Linked DNA regions of Drosophila melanogaster. The protein of the gene in region 2 interacts with the protein of the main gene of each other region in a pairwise test. Each region holds a gene or a part of one and is shown on either strand. Other genes may lie near its edges. The genes, in order: RpL22-like and Nep7.

Region 1 (3,716 bases), on a different chromosome or scaffold from region 2:
TTTTAATTGGCACGCAAATTCCCGGTATAAATCAGACCATTTTAAAAGCATTTTCCGCCCCTTCACTCTACATGACTGCCGTCTGGACTCCTCGCAAGATCGTGCTGCCTGCCTGCCCACCTGATGTCGAAGTGATCGATGTCCCTGGACAGCCGTTGCCATCCATAACGAGGCAAACTCCCAGGCCAAAGACGCCTCCGCACTGCCAATCCCATTTTCCGCTTTCCATCCGCCCATTTGCTACCGTTTAGCCAGATTGATTTCGGGCCAGAAGCCGCACGACTCCGCCGATCATTCCTCCCACTTTTCGCAGGGGGCGGAGGGCCGTCACGCCCACCGTTGCAGTTTTCCCATCGCCCAATCGCCAATGCCGGGCCCATCAATCAACTTCGAGTGCTCGCAGTGAGCGGGAGGTACTCCACTTGCTTCTACCTGCCTCCGAATCTCTGCATCTCCGAATCCGCGAGGAGGACGCGGCAAGAGGCTGCGCCTGGGAGCGCTTTTGGTTGTAAAAATCGTTTCGGCATCATTTTTCATATCCGCAACCGAAACAAAACCGCCAAAAAAAAAAAGAACCAAAACTACCAGAAAACAATATCCAGTCGGCGGCTGGGAAATCGAGTAGCATCCTAACTGCAGGAGCTTCATGCGGCGTTGGAAAAACAGTGGTACGTACCCGAAATACCCTAGGGTTGACTTCTCCAATCTCTATTGCGAGTATGGAAAGGTCATATAAATGTACCAAAGTCGCCCTAAATCTCACTCTTTTGGTTTCTTCTTTTATTATAAACAATTTAGGATGATCCAAAGTCCATTTGAATAGTAATACCCTCTGTTAGGGTATGAGAAGGTGGATAGATGGGCTTGGGTTATGTTTCGGTGGCCAGGGGTGCGTATACGTGATCGCTGCATTTCTTTGGACGTTCCGCGACGCTTTGTTTGCGCTGCCATCGACACCCCTGTCCCGCCCCTCCTGCCATCCTTTTTAAGCCTTGTTTGCTCTTGGCAGTGGCAAGCGAAAGAGACGGCTGCAACGAGACAGAAAGAGACAGCACGAGGGAGAAGGTTTCGATGTAGCGCGAATTTGTTGCAATTTCTCATTGTCAGCGAACGCGTTCGCCGGTAAGTTTTGATTAAACGCTCCGCGGGAATTCACTTTGGCTTGCACTTTTTGCTTTTGTTTTTATTTTTTATTTTTCCTGCCGATAGGAGGTGGCATCTCCCATCCACAATCCCAAATCCCAGTTGGTGGCCAACTCTTTCATTTGAATTTGATAAATGGCGCTCGTTGCAAAGCGATATGTTATGCAATTTAGGGATTTCCTTGTGGCTTAAAAAATATTGAAGCGATAGCTAAATGTTTGTACAACTCGGAAATAAATGAACTGGCCGACAAAGAGAGTGGAAGGTGATGACACTTTAAACAGGCTTTCGGAATTCAATTTGCCTAGCATTGGGAAAAGTTGAGCTATCTCTGTGGATTCATGTGGATTCCACTTTGGTAACTTATCTCGAACCTGTGTGCGCAAGTTTAAATCGATTTCGATCCACCACAATACCCTATAATAAAAGAGCTTAAAAGGGAGCTGGTATAATATGAAAACTACAAATTACTGAGGCCGAACTGGAGGCGAGACGACAAACAAGGCCAAATTGATCCCCGGCTGACAAGCGGTAATAATAATTTCGTGCCAATTAATCAGCGTTAAATCAGAGCGTCAACATCCCAACCTGCTCCACACTCATTTCTCGTGATTTCACTTAAAGATTTCCTGTTTTTTTTTCACAAACATGCCGCCCAAGATAATCGAATAATTGGCATTCGCATTCTACGTAAGCACAGTCGATTGTGAGCAAGGTCACACGGATCGCAAATGCAGTTACTTTCTGATTGTTGCTACACTTGGCCACTCTAATTCTTTTCCTGCCAAACTTCAACGGAGGAAGTCACGTGGTGTTTCTAAACCTATTTTTGATACTAATTTCTTTGGAGTAAGTTAATTGTTTCAAAATTTTAGGCGTGTGCTCATGTTTTGCCATATAGGAATGAGTTCCCAGACGCAGAAAAAGAATGCTTCCAAGGCCAAATCGAAGGCGGGCCCACAGCCGTCGAAGAAAGCCCCGGCTAAGGTGACTCCTGTAGAAACCGCCACCCCATCTGCGGCTCCGCCTTTGTCCTCTAAAAAGGTGGCCAAAGCTCCGGCCGTGGCACTAAAGAATCTCGATTTGGCCATGAAAGAATCGGCTAAGAAGGCCGCCGAAGCTGCTGACCAGAAGTTGGTCTCGAAGGCGAAGAAAGGCCAGAATGCTTCACGCAAGAACTTGATGCAAGTGCCGGAACCCGTTGCCCCTGAGGTGGACAATAAGAAAAAGTCTGCGCCTCCTAAACGTGGCAATGCGGAAATACCCACGGTTGTCCCCGCCAAAAAGGCCGCCCTGGTGCAAGAAAAGCCCAAGGAACAAGCTGCCGCAGCACCAAAAGCCGAAAATGTCGAGGTTCCAGCAGCCAAAGCTAAAAGTGTAAAAAAGAGCCTCGCCACTCCGGCAAATCCGAAGCCCAAGCCGAAACGCACGAAGAATGTTCTGCGTGGAAAAAGGCTGGCCAAAAAGAAGGCTTGGCAACGCTTTGTGATCGACTGCGCATGCGTGGCCGAGGATATGATCCTGGACCTCGCCGACTTCGAGCAGTATTTGAAGACCCACATCAAGATAAAGAACAAGCTCAACCAGCTGAAGGATCAGGTCACTTTCGAGCGCACCAAGAACTTCTCGCTGATCATCCACTCCGGTGTGCACTTCTCCAAGCGCTACTTCAAGTATCTGACCAAACGGTATTTGAAGAAGGTCAGCCTGCGTGATTGGTTGCGGGTAGTGTCCACGGCCAAGGACACCTTCGCCATGACCTACTTTAAGATTCAGGACAAGGACTTTGATGACGACGACGACGACGTTGCCGACGACAATGGCGGAAAAACCTTTGCCTAAAACAAAGATCGCATTTCGAAAACATGTATATCCCATGAAAGCTGTTCAAGTGTGTAGACTTCTTAAATTTCTCAGTATACTTCTGTTAAATTTCCCACTTGAAGTTTCACTAGTTCTCAATGTGGCTCATACAATTTTTGCTCATTTGCTTCAACATATTCAACGATGAAATATCAATAAAAAAAAAAAAAACCCTAACAAGAGTATATCATATATGTATGTATTCTCATCCGAAGCTGCAGAGTTCCCTTGAAGAACTTAAAGATTTCATTTTACGGTCAGTTAGGAGGAAGGAGCGGAGCGTTCCTCGGTCGAATCGACTTAAACTTGAACGATTGACATCTCGGAGAGGGCCTCGAGTGGCATTCGTCATGTTTTGATTGGGAGGAGCCAGTCTTGTTTTCCTTACCTTTTTACGCTTTTGTAAATACCTTAAATTGCCCCATTGGACGGGATTGTGTTCGATGCCAGGCGGCTTAATTGCTTCGCTGTGGGTCTGCCAAATGGACGAAACCATGGGTGGGGATCAGAGGGTGCTCCTCTGTCAGCAGTTGGCCCGGCCTGGCCGTAGGTGGTCCATAACGAGCTAATGAAATGCGAATCCAGCCAAAATGCGAACAGCGAGGCAGCCCAGTGGAGTGAGTCAGGCAGGCAGCTGTCAAAATCGAAATCAACCTGAGCACTCGCAGGTTGGCTTCTTTTCGACTTGGCCAAAAGAACACAAAGGCTGG
Region 2 (4,795 bases):
GCTGCTGGAAGAAGCCTTATCCTTTTCGCCTCCTTGGGAAATGGACCTGCGCTCGCTCTTGATCTTGGTTGGTTGGCTGGCCGTGGTGGAGCTCTTGTCATCCTCGTTGTCGGCGTCAATGTGCTTGGGCTTCGATTGTGTGCTGGAGGGGAAACATGCAGTGGAGAAAACATTAAAATGCATTCAACTTCGGTACATAAAATGTGAAAGGTGCAAAGGTGGTTCATAGCTATTGGGATCAAAAACCACACAATCCAAGCCTATGGAGTATTTGGGACTAATTAATAGGGTTTCCTACCCCGCTTTTGGCTTGGATCCTGAGTTTGCTACGCGGATCTTGCGGGATGTGGGTCTGGTGCCATTTGTTTCTGCTTCCGTGGCAAGCTCGCGCTTGGCGGGAATGACGTCCACAATGGTGGTGTCCTCTTGTGTTATGTACTGCAGCTGTAGGTCCAGGCAGAGATCCTTGGAGCTGGACTCCGTACCGGCCAGAAGAGCGACCGTTGCAGGATGCGACTTATTGGTCGCCTGGACGCGCACGATGATGTGATCGATAATGAGCTCGGTGTCCAGTTGGTAGGCATCCTGCCACTGCTTCAGGTTCTCGAACAGGCGCCATAGACCACACTCAATCCGGCTCCACCGATCCGCGGTCATCCAATGGAAATCATTCTTGGATTCCCGCTCAAAATGGGTCACAGGTGTCGGCAGAACTTTGACGCTGCAGATGACGCGGTGCTTCTTGTACTGAAATGGGAGCTGCTTTAGGACATGGCGGATCACACATCTCAGTGGCTTTTACCTGGTATAATTGCGAAATTAGTTGGCAATCACCGATGGCGGAAAATGACATTTTTATAAAATTGCTATGCGTCCTGATGTGACCGTAGCCGCTGACAGGCACAGCAACAACAATTCGGGGCGGATCTTTGGGCACACTACGAGCGCTTTGGTGGTCTATCGATTGTATTTTTTTATCGACGTTTGGGCGGCAAAAAAGTATCAACTTAAGCTGAATTCAATTCATAAATATTCATTATCTGGAGAAAACTGCAAAATGTTTTTTTGGAACGTGACAAGAAATACTTTTACGTTTTACCACAGAGATCTCTATAGAAAGTATAAAAATAGTAATTATGCATAATGAACATATTAAGAATCCACCTGATATATGCATTTATTTATAAAAAAAAACAACAAAGATAAAAAAGTGTTAAGTGTTAATTAGGACAAAAGTTCAGAACGTGTTCACAATGTGCAATCGTGTGACACAAGTGACGATGAGATTTTGAAACCAAAACTGAGAATTGTTTTTACTCTGAATGAATGAGGGGCGCTATCAATGAATCTCCCAGAACTTACAAATCCTTATCAACAGAAGCGTGTGGCTTAGGTCAAGTCTCGCCAAGAGAACAGCCGGACTACACAGTGCAGCAAAATCGTTCCCATTCTGCGAAAGTGGTTACCTAAAAACTAAGTTGGCTAGAGAGATAGCTTGGATGCCCATGACCTCCTCCTTATTATTCAAAGCAGTGGCTTAGAATGCGCACCAAAGATGGTGAAAGTGTGCGGAACGACGTCATAGTAATATAATTCATTATAATCTCTGTTGTCCAGTGCTGCTGGTCAACATGATTGCGAAAAAAAAGCACACGCCGATGGGATCGGAGAGATGCTGCTGCTTGCTCAGTTCTCAATCGCGTTCCGGATTAGGTAGTCGAGCTTGTTGGGTTTTTCAAATAATCCGGGTCGATCGATCACTGGCCGCACTACTTTATTATATTATACAAACTGCGTGTGTGCCCTGCGAATCGGACCAATATGCTCTCAATCTCGAGCTACTTTCGACTGCCCCTATACACGCGGCTGGCAGTTTGCATCCTGATCTGCGTGATTTTGAATGACTGCGAGGCCAGGAGTATTGGCGACGAGTCCCATGAGAACGCGATTACGGATGAGACGGCCGACTACCTGCGATCCCATGGCGCCATGATGAAGTCCTATATGAACTTCAGCGTCGATCCGTGCGACGACTTCTACGAGTTCGCGTGCGGCAACTGGAAGAACGTGAAAACGCCGCGGCAATCGCCCCATAGGCGGAGCAATATTCTGGACATCAGCTACACACTGATGGACGTGACGGAGCAGCTGCTGACCAGGACAAAGTTGGCGGAGGCACTGAACGTGTCCGCCGAGCTGCTCGTTGCACAACGCTTCTACAATTCCTGCCTGGCGGCCGAGCTCTTTCCGCGGCCCGCTGCCGATCCCGCTTATCTATCGGTTATCAGGTCGCTGGGTGGTTTTCCCGCCGTCGACAGAGACGCCTGGAACGCCTCCAGCTTCAGTTGGTTCAACATGAGCGCCCATCTCAGCAACTACGGCGTTCGCAGTTTGATCCACGAAGAAATTCTGCCGCAGCATCCCTTCAATCCGTACTTCAAGCTACCCGAACTGGGCTTTGACCATGTCGTCCACACCGCTCACGTTGCCAATACGAGCTCGCGGGCCTACCAGCTCAACGAGCATCGCATGCGTGGCTACCTGAAGGAATACAATCTCACGAAGGATGAAATCTCTGCCGTGATCGAAGGCGTCTTTGCTTTTTGGAGCGAGGCGCTCAGTATTGAGGATAAGTTCGAGAGCGATAGGGATAAGTGCGATTTGCTCAGTGAGATTGAGGAGGTGCCGCGATTTGGTCAGTGGAGGAGCTACTACGAGATAGCCTGGAATGGTATAGACTTTTACAACGGCTCGTCCGGTGGCGAATTCTGCGACTTTTACTATGTGGAGCTCGACAAGGTGTGCGCCAAGCATACGGAGGCGGTGGCCAATTATCTAGCCATGCGGTTTCTCTACCGCATGGACGACAAGCTGAAGGAGCCCAAGCAGCCGGAGGACCAAAAGGTTAACTGCTTGATGATCGTCCAGATGACGCTGCCAAATCTGTTCAACAGGCTCTACATGGCGGTGAGTTGGATGCTGTGAATATGTGAAGCTTAGCTTTTCAATTGATATCAACTAACTTTCATAGGAGCACTTCACCGACGAGAAGCACTCGGAGATCTCTGACATGGTGACCGAAATGCGAAAGGCCCAGCGACAGATCCTCGAGAGTGTGGAGTGGTTGGACGCGGAGACGCGAGCAGAGGCTCTGAGCAAGGAGGCCGGCATCACGCCAGTAATCGGCAGTTACAAAAACGAAGAGCTGTCGGACACTCTAATCCGCGAGATCAACAATCTGACCATTGTTGAAGGCAGCTATGCCCAGAGTTTGATCAATCTGCGAGTATTGGGCACCTATCTTCATCGCTACGCTGGCTTACATGCGGACGAGCTGCCCAAGGACACAAAGCCACTGACACTGCTCGTGGGAATGCAGGTGAACGCCTTCTACTACAATCTGGATAACTCGGTGTACGTGATGGCGGGAGTACTGCATCCGCCTGCGTACCACCGTTCATGGCCCGATTCCTTGAAGTTCGGCACCATTGGCTATCTGATAGGTCACGAGTTGACCCACGGCTTCGATACGGAGGGCTCCAGTTTCGACAGCGCCGGCGAAGTACGCGACTGGTGGTCCAGGAAGTCGGAGGCGGTATTCCAGGAACGGGCGCAGTGCTATGTGGATTACTTCAACCAATACTTGATACCGGAAATCAACCAGACAATTCGCGGCAATGAGACAAGGGACGAGAACATAGCGGACGCCGGTGGCTTGAGGGCCGCACTCACCGGCTATCGAAACCACATGAAGCAGCTGCAACGAAGTGGAGCGGATGGGGAGACGTTGGCTCACAAAAACGAGCAGATGCCCGGCCTCGACCTGTCGCCGGAGCAGCTCTTCTTCGTGGGATTCGCGCAGCTGTGGTGCGCCGACTACGAGCCGGAGCACTACTGGGAGGAGCTCACTGGCGCACATACCGTCGATAAGTATCGGGTGCTGGGTGCCGTTTCCAACAACGACGATTTTGCTGAGGTCTACAAGTGCCCACTGGGCAGTCCAATGCATCCGAAGGCTGAGAGTTGTCGGATGTGGTGACCATAAGTCGTATATAAAGGAAAAGATGTAAAATACTCTAGATGTTCAACTACAAAATAAATGAAAACAGGAAAAATAATGCAAATCGACGATATAGTCTTACACATTTCTGCAATTGAGTTAACTCACTCGACTTTACCCATTTACTCTTAATAGTCTCTTTATTTCTAATTGGTTTTAATGAGCAACGTGCTCTGAGGATTTGAAGGCGTTGGGTCCCCGGTAATTCTCGACCAGCAGGGATTTGTAGCGCCTCAGGTGGACGCTGAGTCCTTCCTCGCGCTCGCTGACGGAGAGGATTGAGACGCGGGCCACGACCAGATGGGAAGGATTCGATTGACTAAAGCCTCGGATTACGTCGATTTCATCGCCGACTTCCAGCTGTAAATGGTAAATCATAAGATTGAATTCGATCTATATATGGACTCCATACCTGGGCACTCTTTTTGGGCAGCTTCTTTCCATTGACGCGTATCTTGCTCTCGTAGAAATTCAGTTCCACTTTGCTGTGGGAGGTAAGACATCATGGTTATTGGGGGCATTTAGAAAACCTTCGGCTGTTTCTTACTTTCTCGCCATGCCCAGGCCAGCTTTCAGTAGGAGATCGGCGCGCAGTGAGTTCACCTTGGTCTTGACCACCTTGGAGTCCCTTTCGTCCTTGAAATCCTCATCATCCTCGTCGTCGCTGTCCAAGTCATCCGATGCTCGTGAGGATTTCTTGTCGTACTTCCACGCTGAAGCACTGGTGTGTACAGG

What was found.
Region 1: the proteins of Nep7 (region 2) and RpL22-like interact in a two-hybrid assay, tested with the Drosophila melanogaster proteins (one large-scale study listed by BioGRID).

Annotation. Positions count from the first base shown.
Region 1 is NT_033778.4:23,246,054-23,249,769, reverse strand, and holds RpL22-like (ribosomal protein L22-like), read left to right. Parts: upstream 1-1,876; 5' UTR 1,877-1,992; intron 1,993-2,044; 5' UTR 2,045-2,046; coding exon 2,047-2,985; 3' UTR 2,986-3,160; downstream 3,161-3,716.
Region 2 is NT_033777.3:27,953,200-27,957,994, forward strand, and holds Nep7 (neprilysin 7), read left to right. Parts: upstream 1-1,717; 5' UTR 1,718-1,821; coding exon 1,822-2,967; intron 2,968-3,031; coding exon 3,032-4,039; 3' UTR 4,040-4,127; downstream 4,128-4,795. Other genes in the region: CG4951 (uncharacterized protein), read right to left, coding at 1-142, 299-747, 803-853; CG4884 (uncharacterized protein), read right to left, coding at 4,217-4,420, 4,473-4,545, 4,608-4,795.